Lepisosteus oculatus: one gene and its partner. The protein of the gene in region 2 interacts with the protein of the main gene of each other region in a pairwise test. Links are inferred from orthologs where the notes say so. Each region holds a gene or a part of one and is shown on either strand. Other genes may lie near its edges.

Region 1 (9,648 bases), on a different chromosome or scaffold from region 2:
AATGTGAAAATCCCTAAACTGCGCGTGCGAGAGTGTGTGGTCATGATGGGCTGGCTTCCACAACAGGCTTTGGGTTCCTGCAACCCATGACAGGAATATTCGGCTTTATGACTGTGGATGCTGAGAGAAAAGTGTCAAACTCTAAGTAAAACTGTCACATTATCAGAGAGAGGCTGTTACATGCCGAACAAGTGTCTGCTTACCTAAGCTTTGCGAAAAAGTGAAGGAATCCTCAGACAATCAAAAGCAGGCATCATCGTAATACAAAAAAATAAAAAGAGAACAAACGGAAGAACACTACTTTCTTAATGTTTACAAAGTTTCTGTGCAAATAACCAGAGCATAGTTCTAGTTTACACTGTATGAGAATTCATAAAGCAGCTAATTACTACATCTCAGAGATTTTACCTTTCTAACTCCATGAGCCCCACACTAGTAAAATGATTTTTGCACATTTTGTTTGGAACCTTTTTTATAAATTGGTCAAATAAAACATGTAGGAGTCTAGAGTCACTAGGAAATTAGCAGGATGGAAAAAATAATGAAAAACTGGATTGCTTAAATTCACCACTTAAATCAACTGATCCACAAGTTTAAGAATTAAAGCAACAATTAAACATTGAAAACAGCCAAACAAAATGGACAAATAACCAAAACACTGAGAGCAAAGTGAGGAAAGAGGTTTGTAGGGAAAGATATGCAAATCAAACTCAGAAGTACATTTGTGTATTGTAGAAAAACAAGTAAAAAAGTAAAGGCAAAAAAGCTAAGGCTAAGCAAAAAGGGAAAGCACAGGTTGTTTTAGAAAGATAGACACATCAAATTGATTCCTGAGTGAGGATATGAACAGGATCTATACAGTATGTTTTTGAAACATGAGTGACAGTAGTTTAACACAGACAGCCATTCATTTCCACAAGTAAACTGAAAGAAACATTCTCACAGTATTTCTCAAAAGGGAGTTAACATTGCCTTGATGGTTCTCTCATCGAGAGTTTCTGCTGTCTGACCCCTGCGACTAACCCATCGGCGGCTGTGCTCCACGGAGACATTTTAATTCCACTCATGAAAATGAGCGTGATCAAAACATTTAAATGCAAAGCCCTAGAGACACAGAGTACAGAACTAACTTTCAGCAGGCCAGCACAATGAAACAGTCCAGGATGCTTCCAAAGATTCAAAATGTAAAGATAAAAGAGAACAGGCCCTCTCTTCAACAGACACATAAGGTGACAAAGTGTAACCCTGCTTAAGCAGTGCGACGTTTCTAGGCCTTACCAGAAGCGCCGAGTAGACAACCTGAGGGTTAGGATGATCCAGAAAGAGTATGAGGCCCGGCAAGCACCCTTGATCCTGGACAATAGCTCTCCTGTTGAGGGGATCAGCTGCAAGCTCTCTCAGCTGGTTCACTACAGCCAGGGCGTCGGGCTCCAAGCTCATGGCAGCCACTTACTGTGACATGCACATCAAATCAGGCGGCTTGCTCTGCGGGGACAAAAATGCGGACTTGAGACAGCGACGAGGGAAATGGGGTTCGTTTTTACATCGCAGGAGGAGAAGCGAAGCCACGGGCCTCCTCGTGTTAATGCCGACGTTCGCAGGGTGTCAATTCTCTCGAAATATCCGACAGCCTGCCATCCTCTCCCATCCCGAAGGAGGACAGCTCAGGCCCGTCTACAACGCTGAAGATCTGAAAGGTTTCTGAGGAGCTGGCTGACCCAGAGAAATACTTCACATGGTGACGGAGTCTGGCACGTGTGCACTTTCTTACAGAGTTCTCATCAGACGCGCTTCAACATGGTCAACACACTGAACATCTGCACACAAACCTTGAACACAGGCTGATGTCCTCTACTGTTACAGAACCTCTGACGCCTAGGGGCTTTGCTTGTCCAGAGCTGAAGCACAGGAAATTTAAGATATCCAAAAAGATACTCAATGGAGAGGCAGATTGTAGCTTCCTGTTAGATTGTAGCAAAAGGACGTTTATAATGAGTATGATTTCTCACACTCCGATCATCTCTATTTGTCCTACCTCTGAAACTTTTCCCAGTAAGGATGAATCTTTGTTAACCTAAATATTCACTCTTTTGGTGGGAGTCCTCCTTAAAACTTTATTACTTATGATCATCTCAGGCTCTAATTGGTCACTTGAGAACAAGAACATGGTAAAAACTGTTCAGACCCAGAAAGATTTGATATTGTTTATTAAACTATACTTAGCAATATCTGGGTTTATACGTCACTTATCTAGCCTAGTAATTAACGATGAATTAACAGTGTCCAGATGAAGGGTTTCAACACGTATTCTTTCAGTTCACGCGTTTTAAAACTGCAGACCGTTTTAAACAGGTCACCAGACAAAAATGTGGATGTCCGGATTCCAGTAATCCATATTTCAGATTGAGTGGCATCCATTCAATCAGTTACTCTCATATGTGACCACAAACAGAATACCCCACACACCGCAAAAATAGTCTTTTGGCAAATCTGATGTCTTCTAAAATATGACTGAGCACTTTCAATTTCCAATTTTTATAATGCCAAATGGTCTGATTATTCACAGATGGAAGACATATGTTAGTTTTTACCTTGCTCTTCTGTCAGCTCTTTTGTCTAAAGTTGTAGTGTTAATTTTGTTTAAATCCCACAGCTTCACGTGTAAATGCTGGTTACCTCAACTGATTTCTTTATTTGCCCCTTCATATTTTACTGAACTGTGTCCGCAGTTCTTTTAAACACTTTGAGTTAACAGGACTGGTATTTCCTCATACATTAAGGAAAATGTCTTCACTTAAAAAGTCGTTATGCTTTTGACCTCACATCCCTCATATTACCTCCAGGACAAACAGTTTACAGTATGTCTTCTTCAGGACAGCAGCCCACCCGTGAAAGACACTGAGGTGGTCAAGTCACCACCAGGTTAAAACCCAAATTAACACTGCGGGACATTGAGCCTCGACAGGCTACAAGCTACAGCCGACGAAAAAAATTACTTCCATTATTATAGTTATATTCAAACTATATATAATGGCTCGGGCAATCGTTAACGAAGGTAAATTTAAATTACTTTATGAACGACTGGCGTTAAAAAAATACGTAAAGCCCCAAATCGTAGCCGAGGGAACACACACACACACAAAAAAGTTTTCGTGTCACCCAGCAAGGTGAACGGCATGACAGTAACAGCAAATCACCGTTAACTGTGAAACAACAAACACAGACCGCTTTAATGTGAGGCCCAAAAAATATACATATGATCATAAATAAAAGCTAGGGCCGCTCCTGGGCTGGTCGGAAACTGTTTTGGGATTTTTTTGCACACACTGCTGTAACTGACAGATGCATGACAGAGGCCAAGGCCAGGCCAGCTCCTGCGCTCTCGTTCATTGTGTTGCACTCCGGCTCCACCATGTCACCTTCTGGGGGGGATAAACACACCCTGCTGTCCTTACCGAGGATCCCTCTCCGGCTGGGCACTGCGATCCGCGACAGCCCTGGCTCTCCGGGGAGTTGAAACAGATGTGTCCAGCTGCCCGCGTTTTAAACGTCGCTTGGCTTCCAGTAAACACAGAAGTAGCCCCCCAATGTAAAAAGTCCAGTCAAATCCTCATTCTGTGTTTTTTTTCCTCCACATTCAGGTCACAAATAACCACATTCTTGTTTCGCGGCCTGTGATTGGATAACTCAGTACGACTCGCCCGGTTCAGCCGCCATTCAGGCGAAGCCTTCTTAGAGTGGAAAGGTCATTATAACATTTTTTTCCCCCCAGTGTCTGAACGCTGGGATGCATAGGGTCTTTGTTTTATGATACAATTTAATCGTTAAAGTTGCGTTGGTGAAATACAATTACGTCATTTTAAAAAGTGTACTAAACGGCCTATTATAACCCCGTTTAGTACAACAAAGCCCAGGTTAATGCAGTTTAAAAACTGGGAATAAATAAAGGAACGGCCTTTTCTGTGCCTCCCTCCGATTGGTTGTACAGAGCGGCAGCCAATTGCATCACGATATATTTCAGAAGGCGGGCACTTCCGGTCTCTCCCCATCACGTCTTATCGCTGGCAGCGGTCAAGCCACCTATTGGTTGAGTGTGGAAGCCCGTAGCCGCTGATTGGCCGCCGGCAGCCCGTGCAACACGATGTCCAGCCCCTCCCACTCATCCATCGCCCCGGCGCTGCCGGGAGTGGAAATATTGGGAAAAGGGTTTCGGTTGGCTTGGAGGTAAGGTTGCTTATATTAAAAAAAAACGTTTTTGGCGTATACGGTGGTTATCGGGTAAAGGGCACGTTAATAACTTTCCTTATTGTTTTAAGCAAGCAAATACTGCTGCCCCATAGTTATTTTAACCAGTGAAGAAACGTTTTTTTTCTTTCCCTAAAAAATAAACGGTGCTCGTCTGAAAGAACTGGTGCTGCTGTTCGGTGAAGTTCAAAACCGGTTGCCCTGGACACTTAATACTCGCCCAGTGTCGTAGAGTTTGTTAACCGTTCAAAAGGTGTTGAGGTATTTTATCATCCTGGGGTGTCGTGCTTTGTAAGAGGTCGGGCTGAGCCGGAGTCGAGGATAACAACACGTTATGTCCCAGTCCGAGCGGCGCGTCCTTCACGCCAGCGGCCTGTCTGAGTGGGAGGTTACACAGTCGCAGTCACTCGGAAGGAATTCGCTTTACGCGGTTTTGTTTTTTTTTAGCCTGCCTTCCAGTGGTGCGTTTTTTAAATGCCCGTCAAATGATATTTGCTGGTCTAGGGCGTCTTGACCATGAACAGTAACTTCAATTTTTCCGATGCCCCTCACTTTGAGGTCCTGGCGGCACTGGGTTTATTCGTTTAATGGGGTCCTATAGCCTTTCACTTTCACGTTTTTTACTCCTTGTCTCTAGAATCAATAGTATTTTTTTGGAAAAAGAAACAGAAGGGGTGTCTATAAATCAGCGGTCATGTTTCAGATTCCTAGCGAATCTGCTAGGAGCTTCTATCTTTACAGGGAATGTCTAACGCTCTGCTTTGGAGCGAAGTGATGTATAATCGCATAAGTGTACACGGTCCGTGTTTGCGCACGATCATGGTGATGTTGTGTTAATGTTGTGATTGTAATGTTTTGATCATTTGACAGTCAGTCTCGGTGGATAACCTCTCTGTCCGCTGTAGCTGTTTTATACAATTTAAATAGTAGAACTATAGTTGTTGGGTTTGAACAGTGTCAAGTACCACGTCTTTCATGCCATGATGATTGTTTACATTTGTGCATTATTGTATATGGTGCCATGCGATATTTTCTTTTTTTTTCTGGAAAAAAAAACAAACAAATCGAACAATAACAATTGCAGATAGGATGTAGAAAAAACAGGTGCGTGTTTTGGCAGCGGGAGACAAAGGTAGCCTTAAAATTAAGCAACATCCTAAATAACCTGTTGGATGCGGGAGTTGCATCTCTTTACTCTCGATAGGTTGATTCTCTTTATGCAAACTGTTCCTCATTCCTATTGCCACGTTAACAGTCGTAAGGTCCCTGAACCAAATAAATCATCAGCAATTAGGAAATTAGTAATTATGAGAGCACGTGGTGGCAGTGTTTTTATTTCCGATTGATAAAATTTCAAAAGGAAGCTATATCAATGGTAGATCTACATGGTGAAAGGGTAAAATAATGTGCTGTACAAATAAAACAGAAAGGTGTATTTTTCTTAAGAAACTATTGCCCCCTCAGGAGGGCTTGGGTCTGTATTGCAAGGTTGAGGGACAGTAGATGCTGGGTTCTGGGTTGATGGCAAATACAGTACAGTACCTTAGACATGTCTTTGCTCTTAATCGTTTACCATTTACCTAATTTCCACAAAAGCTTGGGCAGAAGCTGGTCTTTAATTGCTGAAAATGGAAAGTGGTATGACTAATAGGGGCAAAATTATTGGTGTTGTTTCAAGCACTCTGAGCTGATGAATCATTAGCTCAGAGTTCTTTCATTAGCAATGATGAACAGTCCTCTTTAGATTTGTGCAAATTCCTATCAACGAATCCATTTTTAATATATCTAATCCTCTCACTGTTCCTGTGGCACTCCTTGTGTGCTGTACAGTCATGCAAGAGAATGAGAAGACTGGAGGTAAGAGATGCTGTTCAGATCTGCATGTTGCTGATCTCCACTAGCTGGAACACTGTGAGCTTGCTAACAGAGCTTACAAACATGCACGGTATTGTCGGCATTTACTGTTGAGTCCGTTTTTAACACAAAATAATTCAAATCATTTTTCCAAACTAAACGCTGGAGCTTGTGTATTTTTGTATTCTTAAAGTACCAATATCTGTGAGTAATTGAGTTCCTGCATAGGTCTGTCGAAATGCTGTTGACGCATTTAAATGGTTGAGAATTTGAGGGCTGTAGTGTATGTACCTTATATGCTGTATGAAGTAACATAGTGGCCCTATGCGTTTTTATGTAAAATACTCTGTTGTCTATATTAAGGTATTTTACATGCCTTTAGACATGGTTTCTGCAAAAACACATTTTTTGGGATTAATTTTTTTGGAGTTTAGTTTATAATTTAATGCTAATGTCAGTTACAGTAGAGCTAGGAATGAATAAAAGCCCCCACCAAATCCTTTTTATTGCCATTACCCATTGTTTCATTTGGAATTTCAGCTCATAGACTTTGTATGGGTCTTCATACTCAGAACTAAATGTAACACAGTGTGCTCTCTAGCTCTTTTGTATAGTCAGTCATCCTGAGATTGTATTATTAAGGTTTTTAAATACTATTATGTAAGAATTGTTTTTTATTTGCAGTATAATTTAGGGTTTTCTCTGTTTAATAATACTTGGCTGATTCTCATTGTCTAGCGGGGTTGTTGTGGTAAGGAGTCTGTAATTAAGTCAGAGAAGGAAAAAGATTTGTGAAAAACATGTTGTTTCATAAGGTTTAAGAATAGAGTATTGTTGTCGGTCACAAAGTACAGAAAACAAACGGCAAAGGTCATTGTTCTTACTTACTGCCTGCAATATGAAAGAAGACTCCGAACAGTTGAGGACAAAGCATCTGTCCTTTGAAATTGGAATAGAATCATGTTGATTGTTGTGTTTATAAGAATTGTGAAAAGCTTGTCTGTTTTATTAGTGTTTACTCAGCATTATATTTTAAACATATATACAGTATTTCTACATGCCTTAAGTAGTTGATTATATTTTTAAAAATACTTGTCACATTATTAATATTAATTTTGCATGACTTTATCTTATCAGAGAAGTCTTCTACATGTCCTGTTGATGTGTTCTTAGAATATAATATTCTTGTTTGCTTTAATATAGATTGTCATAAATACATTTTTTCTATTAAGTATTTCATACAAGAGGGAGACGATCGAGCTGTCTAGCCTGTTTGCTTACTATCAGGTAATTGGTCCCAAGGTTTCATCCAGCTGTTCATCCATCTTATCATCCATCTGTTCAGAACTGCACCTGTTATCAGTTTTTAATACACTTCAGTGGATCTCATTGGCTTGTGGTTTTTGCTGCAGATTCTGAAGTCCACTTGACTTTAATAGTGCATTTCTGAACACTCCACTCCATCATGTGCTAGTACACTCACCACACACCAGCTATTAGTGGGGAGGAGAACAGAGTTAAGAAGCCATTCATGGATGCGGATTATTAGGACACCACGATTGGTAAAGGCCAGTGGGAAATTTGGGCAGAACACCAGGGTTGCACCCCTACACTTTTCCAGAAATGCCCTGGGATTTTTATGACCACGGTGAGTCAGGACCTCGGTTTTACGTCTCATCCAAAGGATGGCGCCTTTTTACAGTATAGTGTCCCCATCACTATACTGGGGCATTAGGACTCTCACAGACTGCAAGGTGAGCGCCCCCTACTGGCCCTACTAACACCTCTTCCAGCAGCAACCTTAGCTTTCCCAGGAGGTCTCCCATCCAGGTACTGATGAGCTGTTGAGCTTCAGTAGGCTGTCAGCTGTGAGTTGCAGAGTGATTGGCTGCTGGATAAATAAAGTGCAATACTTGTTTACTTTGGAAATGTGTCATTTCTTTAAGACGCATAGTTACTGGTTTCCATTGTGCGAGTATGAGCTGTAATTCAAGCGTGCTTGTGATTTGCATGTAAATGTTTCTCATTGTGCCCCATGCCTCAGTGCCTTCCATCCTGTTGGTGCTCACATTTCAGACGGCAGGAGAATGGAAGTCCAGTAGGGAACCTGTGGGAACCCAGAAGATGATGTTGAAGATGGCTTGCAGAAACTCCCTAGATGATTGCCCATCTGATTCGGGTCGTTAAAATGATCCTGGAATCTACAGGAACAGTCATGGACTTAGTGAGTATCCGTTTTTCTTTTATTCGGTACAACTGTGCCTTGTGTTTGTTACTCCTCTCACTGGCAGTCCTTATTGCCATTGCCCATAGAACTTAATTTTGTCATCTGTTCAGATCCCCTGCATACATGCTTTGTATTGATGTCTTGACTTACAGAGGTATCTCTACTATTTATTCATGTAAAAAATAGTTAAAGAGCTCCTGGCATGGAAAGCCTGCCATGCCAAAATAATGATCTGTGAAAATCTTTATTTTGGTTAATAATAATCATTTTCTCTCCCTCCGATAGCTTTCTGATCATTTTACCGTGATCTGTGTGATGGAAAAAGTCCTGTCACATTTATTTAAATAAACGTTTGGAAATTACAGCTCACGCTCAAGGACGTTGTGGCTTGTACTGTAGTGCCAGTACACTGACGAGTTGTGGGTCAATGAAGTGGGATAAGGTCTTTTACAAGAACCAGCAGCAGGAAGAACTGGAATAAGGGGAGTTAGGAATTCCTAATTCTTTCATCCTGATGATTAGTCTCTCTCTTCCATAATGATGGCCTATGATAACGATTTATGACTGGTTTAAAAACATGTTCTGATAATGCAGATTCTGTGCTCTTTACCATAATTTGGTGGATGTTAATAGTAAGCATGTCTCAATTTTGACTGTTTTTTGTCCTAAGAAAATTTACAGTAGGTTTCTTTTATAAGTATTTTAAGGCACCATAGGGTTAGAAATAGACTAATCATACTCCTCTTCTATAAAGGTCTAAGTCAGTATTCTTGAAATGTAGCTAAAAATGATCGTGGAATTATTTTCTTAAGTGGGTTACTTGTAGTTTATGCAGTGATTTACTTTACTATATTTGGTATTAGTTGGTGTTATGTAAATCAGTTCTTATACTGCAGCTTAGTTCTTATAATTCCTGCTGTTTAAGGGTAAAACAAAGGTCTTGAGGCTGGAGAAGGATGTGTCTCAGCCACAATGTTTTATGCTCCTAAACAGAAATGACCACTTTTGCACACACATTTCCTATTTGGGCTGAATGGACCAGATCATTCTGTCATTTTCCATAGTGAAAGTTAAGCTTTTTGTATTTTGAAGATTTCTCAAAAGCCAGCACACCGTTTTCACACTACTCAAATCACAGTGAGGCAGTCAAACACCAACAAGACAAGACTGAACCCCGAGAGTGAACCTACAAGCACCTCAGTTTGACCTAGGATAAATGGGATAGAACCACTCTAAGATTCATCACAAGCTGCTCATTTCACATTTTCCATTTGTGTGTCAATTTGCTGTATCAATTTAATCTGTTTTTCAAGAGAAAAAAG
Region 2 (8,992 bases):
GTACCCATTTACATTCTGTCCACAGTGTTTTCATCAAGCACTTAATTAAATGCAAGTCGGTGTGTGCAATTCTGAAAATAACATCTGCCCCAAACCACTAAACAGTACAGAAGGACAGAGTTTAGAATATCTGTTTTTCCATGTATTCCCATGAACCGCTGCTTGGCGGAAAAAATTCTCTGGTGTAAAAACTGGAGCTGTGCAACGACACCGCAAAAACAAACAGAAAGTGCAAAATGACCCAACGCTGGCGACACCTGAGTCCGACGCCACGATCCTGGCGATCTGGGCCCGCAGCCGGCTCAGCTCATCCTGCAGGGCCGTGGTCCTGTTCAGGGCCGTCAGGCCCGGCTTCCTCAGCCCCTCCACCTTCCTGCCCTCCCGCCTGAAGTTGGGCACGGAGGAGTTCCTCTGGAGCACCAGCAGGGGAGTGGGGCGCCACTCGTGCCTCAGGGGGCGGGTGTCACTGCTGATGGGGCGCACACACACACACACACAATAGCAACATACTCATGAAGCTCTTCCTGCCACACCAAGACTAAGATTTTTTTTTAATAAACTTTTATGTCAAAAACCAAACGCAAATGCTAACCAGCTCCTGATGGTACCTTAAACTCACATCTTGATCTACAGCACATTTGTGACCCCTCTACAGGGTCACTGTATTGTGTCCTTTAAGAACACAAAGAGGTACAAGCTTTGCATGGAGGCCTGTGCTTTGAGAATATGACCGAGAGGTCAGCACAGGCAGACGATGCACCCGTCTGTAATCCAGATCAAGGTCGTAACCTCTGTGATCCGAGGTTTGAAATGAACAAGACGCTTGAAATTTGCTTTGGTTGCTCATTTCACACGAGCTCAGGATATTTTTACGCGTGAATCTGTGTTTCGGCCTGAAGGCTAGGTTTTGCAGGTGGGAGCCGACGAGGGCACTCACCGCACCCTGGCGTAGGTCTCCTCCTCATCGGCAGCGATCCACGCGATGTCAGCCAGCGTGGGCACCATGGGGCCGTCAATGGGGCGTGGAGAGGGCAGCCCGGGCAGAGCCTGCATGTCTCCCAGAAAAACAAATAGATCAGCATGCGGCTGAACATCTTAAATTAGGGGCTCATATTAAGCAAGATATCTTGTGATCAATGAATGAAAAAGAGCCATAAGCCTACAAGACTCTGCTCTCCAGCAACGTGGTTGGACATCCACAGCCTTCTATTGGGGTATTGCAGCACAAACTACATGACAAAGGCAGCGCAAAGCAAATGTCTAAATAATGATGCAAACTGTTCCCTTGATGAGAAGGAAACGGAGACCATCGCTGTGAAAATAGAGGGTAACTTTGACCTGTCCATTAGGATCTGGATGAGCACATCCCTGACAATATTCAGACTTTTCAGAGGTTTCCCACTCTTGTACTACTGTAGGTTCTAGACTCCCATGATATTTCCATGTTTCCTTAAAAGTTATATACAGCTCCCTACCTTTGCAAGGTCTAAAATTGATCCATTTAAGGTTTAACTGGGCTTGGTTGTCTTTTCTCCACAGCCTTCAACCGTGGACGTTTTAAAAAGACACAGAAGCCCTGCTGGACTCTGGACCCCAAGAGCGGGGAACCCCCTGTCTGACTGAAGACAGGACCCCTGCACTGACACACAGAATGGGGATGATGGGGTAAGACTTTTTGACAGCACGCTGGAGGGAAAACAGTGTTCTATTCAGAGCTGGTGTGAGCCAGGTTTATCACTTAGCTCATCCAGACCAGAGTGACCTCACCTGAAATGCAATTCTCCCTCTCCCGGTGCTGAAATACAGGTAGCAATCACTCTCACCTGAAAACACGCTCTTGGGCAGGGCCTGAGGGGCAGAGTGGATCCGATCCTCCGCACCACACTGCGGGTCGACCCGTGGGGCTTGTTCTGCCAAATAGGTATGACCTAACAGAGAGACATAAAGAGGCAGGCATTTCGAGTAAGGGAGTGCCAAACAATGTGGCCGGGCAGGTGCCAACCTTAGGTATTCACCCCATGAGCTCTTGTCTGTGACAGCGGTGACTCATCTTTTACACATTTCTAAATTACCACATCTTCCAGGAGACAAAGTTCTAAAACATTCATCGCTAAGATTTCTTAGTAGCTGCTTCACCCCTCAGCCCACAAGGCTTAATTTTTATAAACAAAACCCCCTCCATAATTCACTGATTTAAACAGAGAAGCCGTAGTGAACTTTACTTTAGCAGCAGGCATTGTAAGCAGGTGTTGTAATAAGACGTTTGCCTCACAACGGCCACATACAATGCAGTGGGCAATACAGTGTGATTAATGAGTGTCAACAGAGTAGTATTCCTAGTTATTTATCCCCATAGCGTTACTAACTAGATGTCAAGGAAATATTATGACAAAATCCAATAACCACCATTAACTGAAAATATCCCCGGCCCTTGAGAAATGTCTTGTCTTCAGTGCCTTCATTACCAGTTTTAATTCAGCACTCATAGATTAGTATATTTTTATTTTAAAAAAGGAAAATATCGGAGATCCGAATAGAATTCATCACCAGCTGCAAGTGCTCAGCTTATTTTACAATCCACAAAGCACTTTTTTTTCCCCAATTTTCTAACAACTTACCGTGTCCTGGTCCATGTCAGATCGCGGAGCACATTCAAATCCGGTAAAAAAAAAATATGAGTCCCCGTCTTTTATCGCATGGGCCACTAGGTACCGTGAGACGTCATGCACATCACTTAACACTCGACAGGAAAGTGACTGTTAAACATCTGTAAAGAAACAGGAGAAAAAAAAACTATTTGACAAACCTGACGAGAGAGCTGCACAACATATACGGGCTACATGTAGGTCATGATATTTAAATACCCACCAGAAACTGATTCTGTGAAAAGTAGCTAGTTAGTTCTAGTTAACTACGGCAGACTACCTGTCCTGCACAGCATCTCTCACACCTGAAGAAGGCTCCACGTTGTTTTCCTTCTTGTCTTTTCAGCATGAAATAAACCTATTACTTATTCCTTTGCTACCTATACTGCATGTCACCGTGTTAGTTTCTACCGCTGAGAGTATGATGCGTGTGAAATACCCACCGTGAGATCACAAATTATTTACTTTAGTGTTATTCTTGAGTCCAGAGCAGTATTAGTATTCGTGTATTAGTGATCATGTAGGTTATTGTATGAATCCTTTTGGACAACCAGGAATTCCTCGACCTAGAGGGTATTTCAAAAACAGCCCCAGATGACCCTGTTTGTCGGAGCTATGGCGTTTAAAACCCTGTGCGTACCCCCCCTCCCACCACCACTAGTGTCCTGTACAAAATAAACAGATATCCTGAAATTTTACTCACGATCTTCAAGGTTTTTAAATTCATCAGCCACAAAAGAACTCCCCGGCTTAAACACTTGCGGCCGCTCTCAGCTTCCTCTTTCCCTGATATCGTTGTTATTATCGCTTAGTGGAAACCAATAAGACTAGACAGAACTGGAACCATAGAGTACTACAGTAGCTAGAGCAACTCTACCACCGGGCCCGAGTAACAAAGGGTTCGATCTCCAGTCACACTGCCCCCTTGCGTGAATTTACAGTAATGCAGTTCCCTAATTGACCTTTTCCATGCTGTTAACTTACGTTAGAAATGTATTTTTTTTCCTTATTCACAGCTCACTTCCCTTTCAAATGATAAACTGAAGAAACTAGAGACAATCTCCGAAGCAATGGGTCTGTTTATGCACAATTGCTTTGTGCAACAGATAATATAATGCACTTGGTGAATATTTGCAGGCTTTGCCACCAGATGTCCCCGAAGACCCAATGAATAGCCTTAAAGTTATTTTACACATATTATGCTCTTCGCTCTTGCGGTAAAAATCTGACGTCTGTTGCAACAAAGTACGAGATCAAATTAATGACGTGCAGTTTCCTCACTGCCTGGGTATCTGGCCTTGCTTCAAAAATGTGTATTTTAAAGAACATTGTGCTGTTTGACGGTGTGATTTTAAAACATCATCAACAACAACAACAACACACTGCATCTTTCCAGTTTCTTGAAGGTTGCCAAGGAATCAATTCCAGCGGCATTTTAGCACAGTGTAATTACGCACACTCTCAGCTCGACGCGAGAAGGTTTCGACTCTGAAGACCTCACTGCAGAAGAATGCAATTTTAGATCCCGCTGGCGTTCAAGGGCTCTTGTAGGTGGATGGCAGTAATGGTGATGATAGTAGTGGTTAAGTGTGGGCGGAGAGGGATGTAGGGGTGGTGTCCACCTGAATAATTAACAATATGTCATTTTTTTTTAAGGAATCGTACCACCGCTTCTTGCAGTACAACGAAAATACCTCTAGTCCTCGGAGGTTATCCTGCGCCTGGTGATAACCGTGCGCTGCGAGTACTCTGCTCACGCCAAACCGAGGAGCTGGGAGCTACACCGAAGGACACCCGCGGTGCCAAAAATGAGGATCTAAAAAAAAGTTACCACCCGGTGAACCTGCCGTTTCGTTCTGGGGTCTGGAGCCGGGCAGACACCGCGCGTCGTCTGGGGAGGTCGCGCCGCGGAGAGAGAGGCGGAGCCGCCGGCTGAACTTGTCAATTTCTGCTGAGGGAGCCAGAAAACACGAACACCCGCACCGAGAAGTGCGCCGAGCGGTCTGGGGGTCCTGTCCTCGCCACCGAGTGGAGGCAGTGCTGGGAAAACCAGGTTTGTTTGGGGTTTTTTTTTTTGTTCTCTTTTGCTAAGCTCAAGTCCGATAATGTGAGAGGTGTTTGGTATTTTAGGGGGGAACGCATCGCAACGCAACGAAATGCACCAAATGCATCGGGTCAGGGTGTATGCTGTATAGACGGTCAACTGCTTTCTTCTCTATCGAGCTGTTATCGACAGTCACATTTCCTTGAACTTCAGGACGAAATAGAAAAGGGTCCATAAAGAGTAGGACGTCATTTAACTCTGTATTTTGAAAGAAGGTGCCTAGCGTGTACTCCAAAGCCGCGGGAACAGAACCATTATCGTGCAAACGCAAATGCGACACCGAGACACTTCGGAAGTGCTCTCATCTGATTTGGGCCACAGGCATCCCGGCTGTCTGACAAAACACACCCGGTCCATCGCTGGCATTTTTGTAAATATTGTCGTTTGGGATCTGACTATCAGGTAGCAGAGCAAATCCCTCCATGTTAACATACAGCGTCCAAAGTCGTGTTCAGCTCAGATCTAATTATCATGCAGTGCCAGTCTCTGTGTTAACGCGCAACATGCTAGCTGGGTTTAGGCCACTGACTTGCTGAATTGTTTTAGTTTCATTACGAGTCCAAAATGTTTGTATTGCAGAAATGGCATAGAAATAGTGGAATTAGCCATCTTATAATTTAATAATGACATTGCTCTCCCTTTTGCATTTTCTGAAGTATTGACTGCATCATTTCTTTGAATTGCTATGTATCATTGTTACATTAAAAGAACAACTGGAGGCTATATTAGATTGGTTTTACATAAGAGATGGAGATATCACTCTTTGTAATTGTACTTTCACCCCATAAAGGAGAAGTATAATCATTATTAAGCATGAAAGGCTATTTACTCACCTACAGAATTTGATCTATAGCCTCTAGTTTTCATGCCTCCTCAGTGTCACCTGTCTTTGGGTCAATGTGACGCACACTTTCAGAACAAGATGTCAGAAGAGTGTGAAAGGACTCTCCTCTGAGTGTCTTGCAAGTGCGAAGGGGTTTTGGGCCCACCCAGCTCATTTGTAGGCCGTTGGGTAACTGACGCAAGCGTCTCATCCAGCCCTTTGATGAAGGTATCGCCTTCGACAGGCTGCAGGCACCCACAACCCTTTGTGTAAAGCCTCCTGCTCTCAGTGTTCCTGTAGTTTCCCCTGCTAAGATTTCACCGTGTCAGTGCCTTTTTAAGATTTTGAATCTTTTTTTTGAGTCTTTTGTGTTCTAGAGAGCAAAAGGATACATTATTTTAGCCTGTTACTACAGGACATTCCTTTTTGCACTATGGTGATGAAAAATGAACACAAATGAGGTTTTATTTGAAATTCTAAGTATATATTCTAAGATTCTGACTGCCTTATTATTACTTGCATGCATGATCAAGAAGATAAAAGGTATATAAACATAAATAGGTGTCTTTTTTTGCTTATAACCTAGTCTAAATTAAGTGTCATTAATCATTCATCATTAATCATTAATCCGGTCCAGAATTCTTTAAGAATCCTTTTGAATTCTCTTTGCAGCTTCTACACTGCACTATTGATTACTCTGTAATCCTTTTATTTTTAAAATTTATTTTGGGCAAACCGTATTCGTTTTCTGATGATGCCAGAATATAGGTAATTGATAATAGTTCAGACTTGCAGTGTTCCTACACCAAACTGGTTTTGGTGAAATGAAATGAATTTGAACACTCACCCATTATCTGTACTCTCTGTTTTCTATTCATTAACCGGTTCTTAATTCAAGCACATATATTTCCTCGAATGCCTACAGCCTTCAATTTGCAAATTAATCTCTTATGAGGAATGTCATCTAAAGCTTTCTGAAAATCTAAATATACTTTATGACTTGCTCTGCTTGTAACCATTACTGCTGTGGCATATTCAAGGAATTCTAACAAGTTGAGCAAGACTTTCTTAATTTCATGTTGACTAACTCCTGCGGTCACATTGCTGTTTTGACCAACCTCTAGAATCTACAATTTCCATAATGCTATATGGGGCAGAAGTAAAACGTATCAGTCTGTTATTGCAGGATCAGTCAGACTGCTTACAGTGAAAAATAATAATTATGAAGAGTTTCTTCTCTTTGCATGTTTTTAAGGGCATTTCTGGTTCAGAAGGGGTCTGAAATGTATCATTTACACCTTCACACCCAGGCTTTCCTCTCTAGGGGGCCACAAAAAAGGTCGATTTTGTAGGTCTTCTGAGATCTTGATGAGTTGTAGATCTGAGAAGTGAGGTCAAGGTGCTGCTGGCGTGTAATTTCTGTCAAATCAGCGACAGAAAGGACTCCCCGCTGCCTGATCTTCCCCGCCTGCTGCTGTGTTTCCAGCTGTGATGGAAATAAGGAGGTCACATTGTCCAGATCAGAGCCTGTGCAAATCGGCTGCGTACAGGGCCGTTGGTGATGAAGCCTTTCATCCAGCAATCAGTACAGTGATCCCAGACTTTGGCTTTTGTCTCGGGTCACGTTCTTCTTGTCCCTTCAGGCATGGCTCTATTTTTAGGTCCTCTGAGGACACCCCGATCTTTACAGCCTGGCGACTCCCCTGCTCAGCATTGTTAACCACGTGAGACCTCAGCCTCAGATGTGCTTAGCTATCAAGGGCACAGGCAGGGCCTGCCTTTTTTTACACTGTGTGGAAGAAGCAATACCAAAATCTCAGGAACCGTGTGCTATCAGGACAGATCAGCTGGTAAGGCCAGATTGGAGGAGTGCTGATTTGCATTTCAAAGTGGAGGGGGAGAGGAAAGGGGAGAAGGGAGGGAACGCTAGTGCAGGGATCGATTGAGGCTGCCTCGATCTTCCTGCAGTCCACATTGCATCACCTTCTTTCTCTCTGCTGAGATTCAGCCCATCCGCTCCCAGGATCAAACCTCCCCCAGGGCAGAGGAGCTAAGCCAGGAATGCTTGCTAATGGCAGAGAAGACATGGAACAGTACCACTAGATTTGCCTGAATAATTTCAATAGTGATTTTTTTTTATCATTGTTTCTTGAGCATATTTACTTTGCCTTGTCAGCTTTTGACAGTAAAGTAGAAATATTATGGTGGCGCAGTGTGGTGTTGGGGCCCTAGGTTCAGTTCCTGGGGTGCTATGTGGAGTGGGGTTTGTATGTTCTCCCCGTGTTTGTGTGGGTGTCCTCCTGGTGCTCCTATTTCCTCCCACAGTCTTCTGGGAAAACTGGCCCTGGTGTGAGCGTGTGTGTTTATTTATTAAAATATTATTTTTGCTTGTTAAAACCAAAAGGAGGCTTTGGAACAACCACAAACAGTGTACAGGCTGAGCTTATAAGATGACTGGAAATATGCCTTTTCAGTGTAACCAGAATATCATTGAGACATTCATCTTTGATCATCTTTCACCTTCATGAAACAAAATCTACAGTTTAAAATAATATAGGACTCACAGTAGAGCATGATGGCACCTTTACTGAATTTGCCGATTGAGTTTAAAAGGGCTCAAAGACGTCACAAAGGACAAAAAAGTCTTTCAGCAAATATTTGTCTTTCCAAGAGCATTGAACCCTAAGTCTGATTGCAGAATACTTTTTATTTCCACAATAACCCCTTTTTCTGCCTGAAAACTGCATGTTAACTCTGTCACTACCTGTAATGTTGTTGTTTTTTATTTTGAATCAATTGGTCTGCTTGTCCGTTCTTGGTTTTGTCCTGTGTGCAATAATGGCTATATTATTCTCAACTGATTTCCGCTCTCCATCCATGAGTTCTCTAAACCGCTTCATCCAGTTCAGGGCCACAGGGGAGCCGGGCGTGAGGCAGGGCACACCCCGGAGGGGACGCCAGTCCATCGCGGCCAGCTGATTAAATAAAGTGAATAATTCAGTTCAATTCAGTTTATTTTTCTATGGCGCCTTTCACAACAAGGTTACCCCAAGGCACTTAACAAAGCAAGTGACCATACATGGTGTGAATACAGAACAGAAAAGACCGGAAGACAACGGATGAGAGGAACCAAAAACTCCTTAGTAAGGAGAAGAAAAAAACCTCTAGGGGTCCAAAGTCAACTGGATGCCCAACCCCTTTGGGCATGCTAACAATTAAATATACATTTAATTGTATCAATATACAATTAAAAAAAGGAAACAATAAAGGTATTCATCCATCCAATATTCTGTATGTCAGTACTCCATGCAGATTTCTGTAGACCAGCAAAATCCTCCTAAACGATAGCTATATCCACGATATCCCTCTTGGATCCACGGCATTGATGCGCCATCCAACTCGGATGGTGCCCACCCCGGG

Evidence for each region.
Region 1: the proteins of mtfr1l (region 2) and armc1 interact in binary tests that used the Homo sapiens proteins (3 or more experiments, as listed by UniProt). The two-hybrid records come from large-scale screens. The link is inferred for Lepisosteus oculatus from reciprocal best matches to the Homo sapiens genes MTFR1L and ARMC1.

The regions. Positions count from the first base shown.
Region 1 is NC_090701.1:51,112,109-51,121,756, forward strand, and holds the start of armc1 (armadillo repeat-containing protein 1), read right to left. Parts: upstream 3,940-9,648; 5' UTR 3,456-3,939; intron 1,486-3,455; 5' UTR 1,441-1,485; coding exon 1,279-1,440; intron 1-1,278. Other genes in the region: mtfr1 (mitochondrial fission regulator 1), read left to right, coding at 8,258-8,323.
Region 2 is NC_090706.1:7,848,226-7,857,217, forward strand, and holds the start of mtfr1l (mitochondrial fission regulator 1-like), read right to left. Parts: upstream 4,431-8,992; 5' UTR 4,340-4,430; intron 3,504-4,339; exon of another isoform or gene 3,349-3,503; intron 3,108-3,348; exon of another isoform or gene 3,089-3,107; intron 2,768-3,088; 5' UTR 2,634-2,767; coding exon 2,619-2,633; intron 1,929-2,618; coding exon 1,824-1,928; intron 1,048-1,823; coding exon 938-1,047; intron 470-937; coding exon 258-469; intron 1-257. UniProt on the Homo sapiens protein: Mitochondrial protein required for adaptation of miochondrial dynamics to metabolic changes. Regulates mitochondrial morphology at steady state and mediates AMPK-dependent stress-induced mitochondrial fragmentation via the control of OPA1 levels.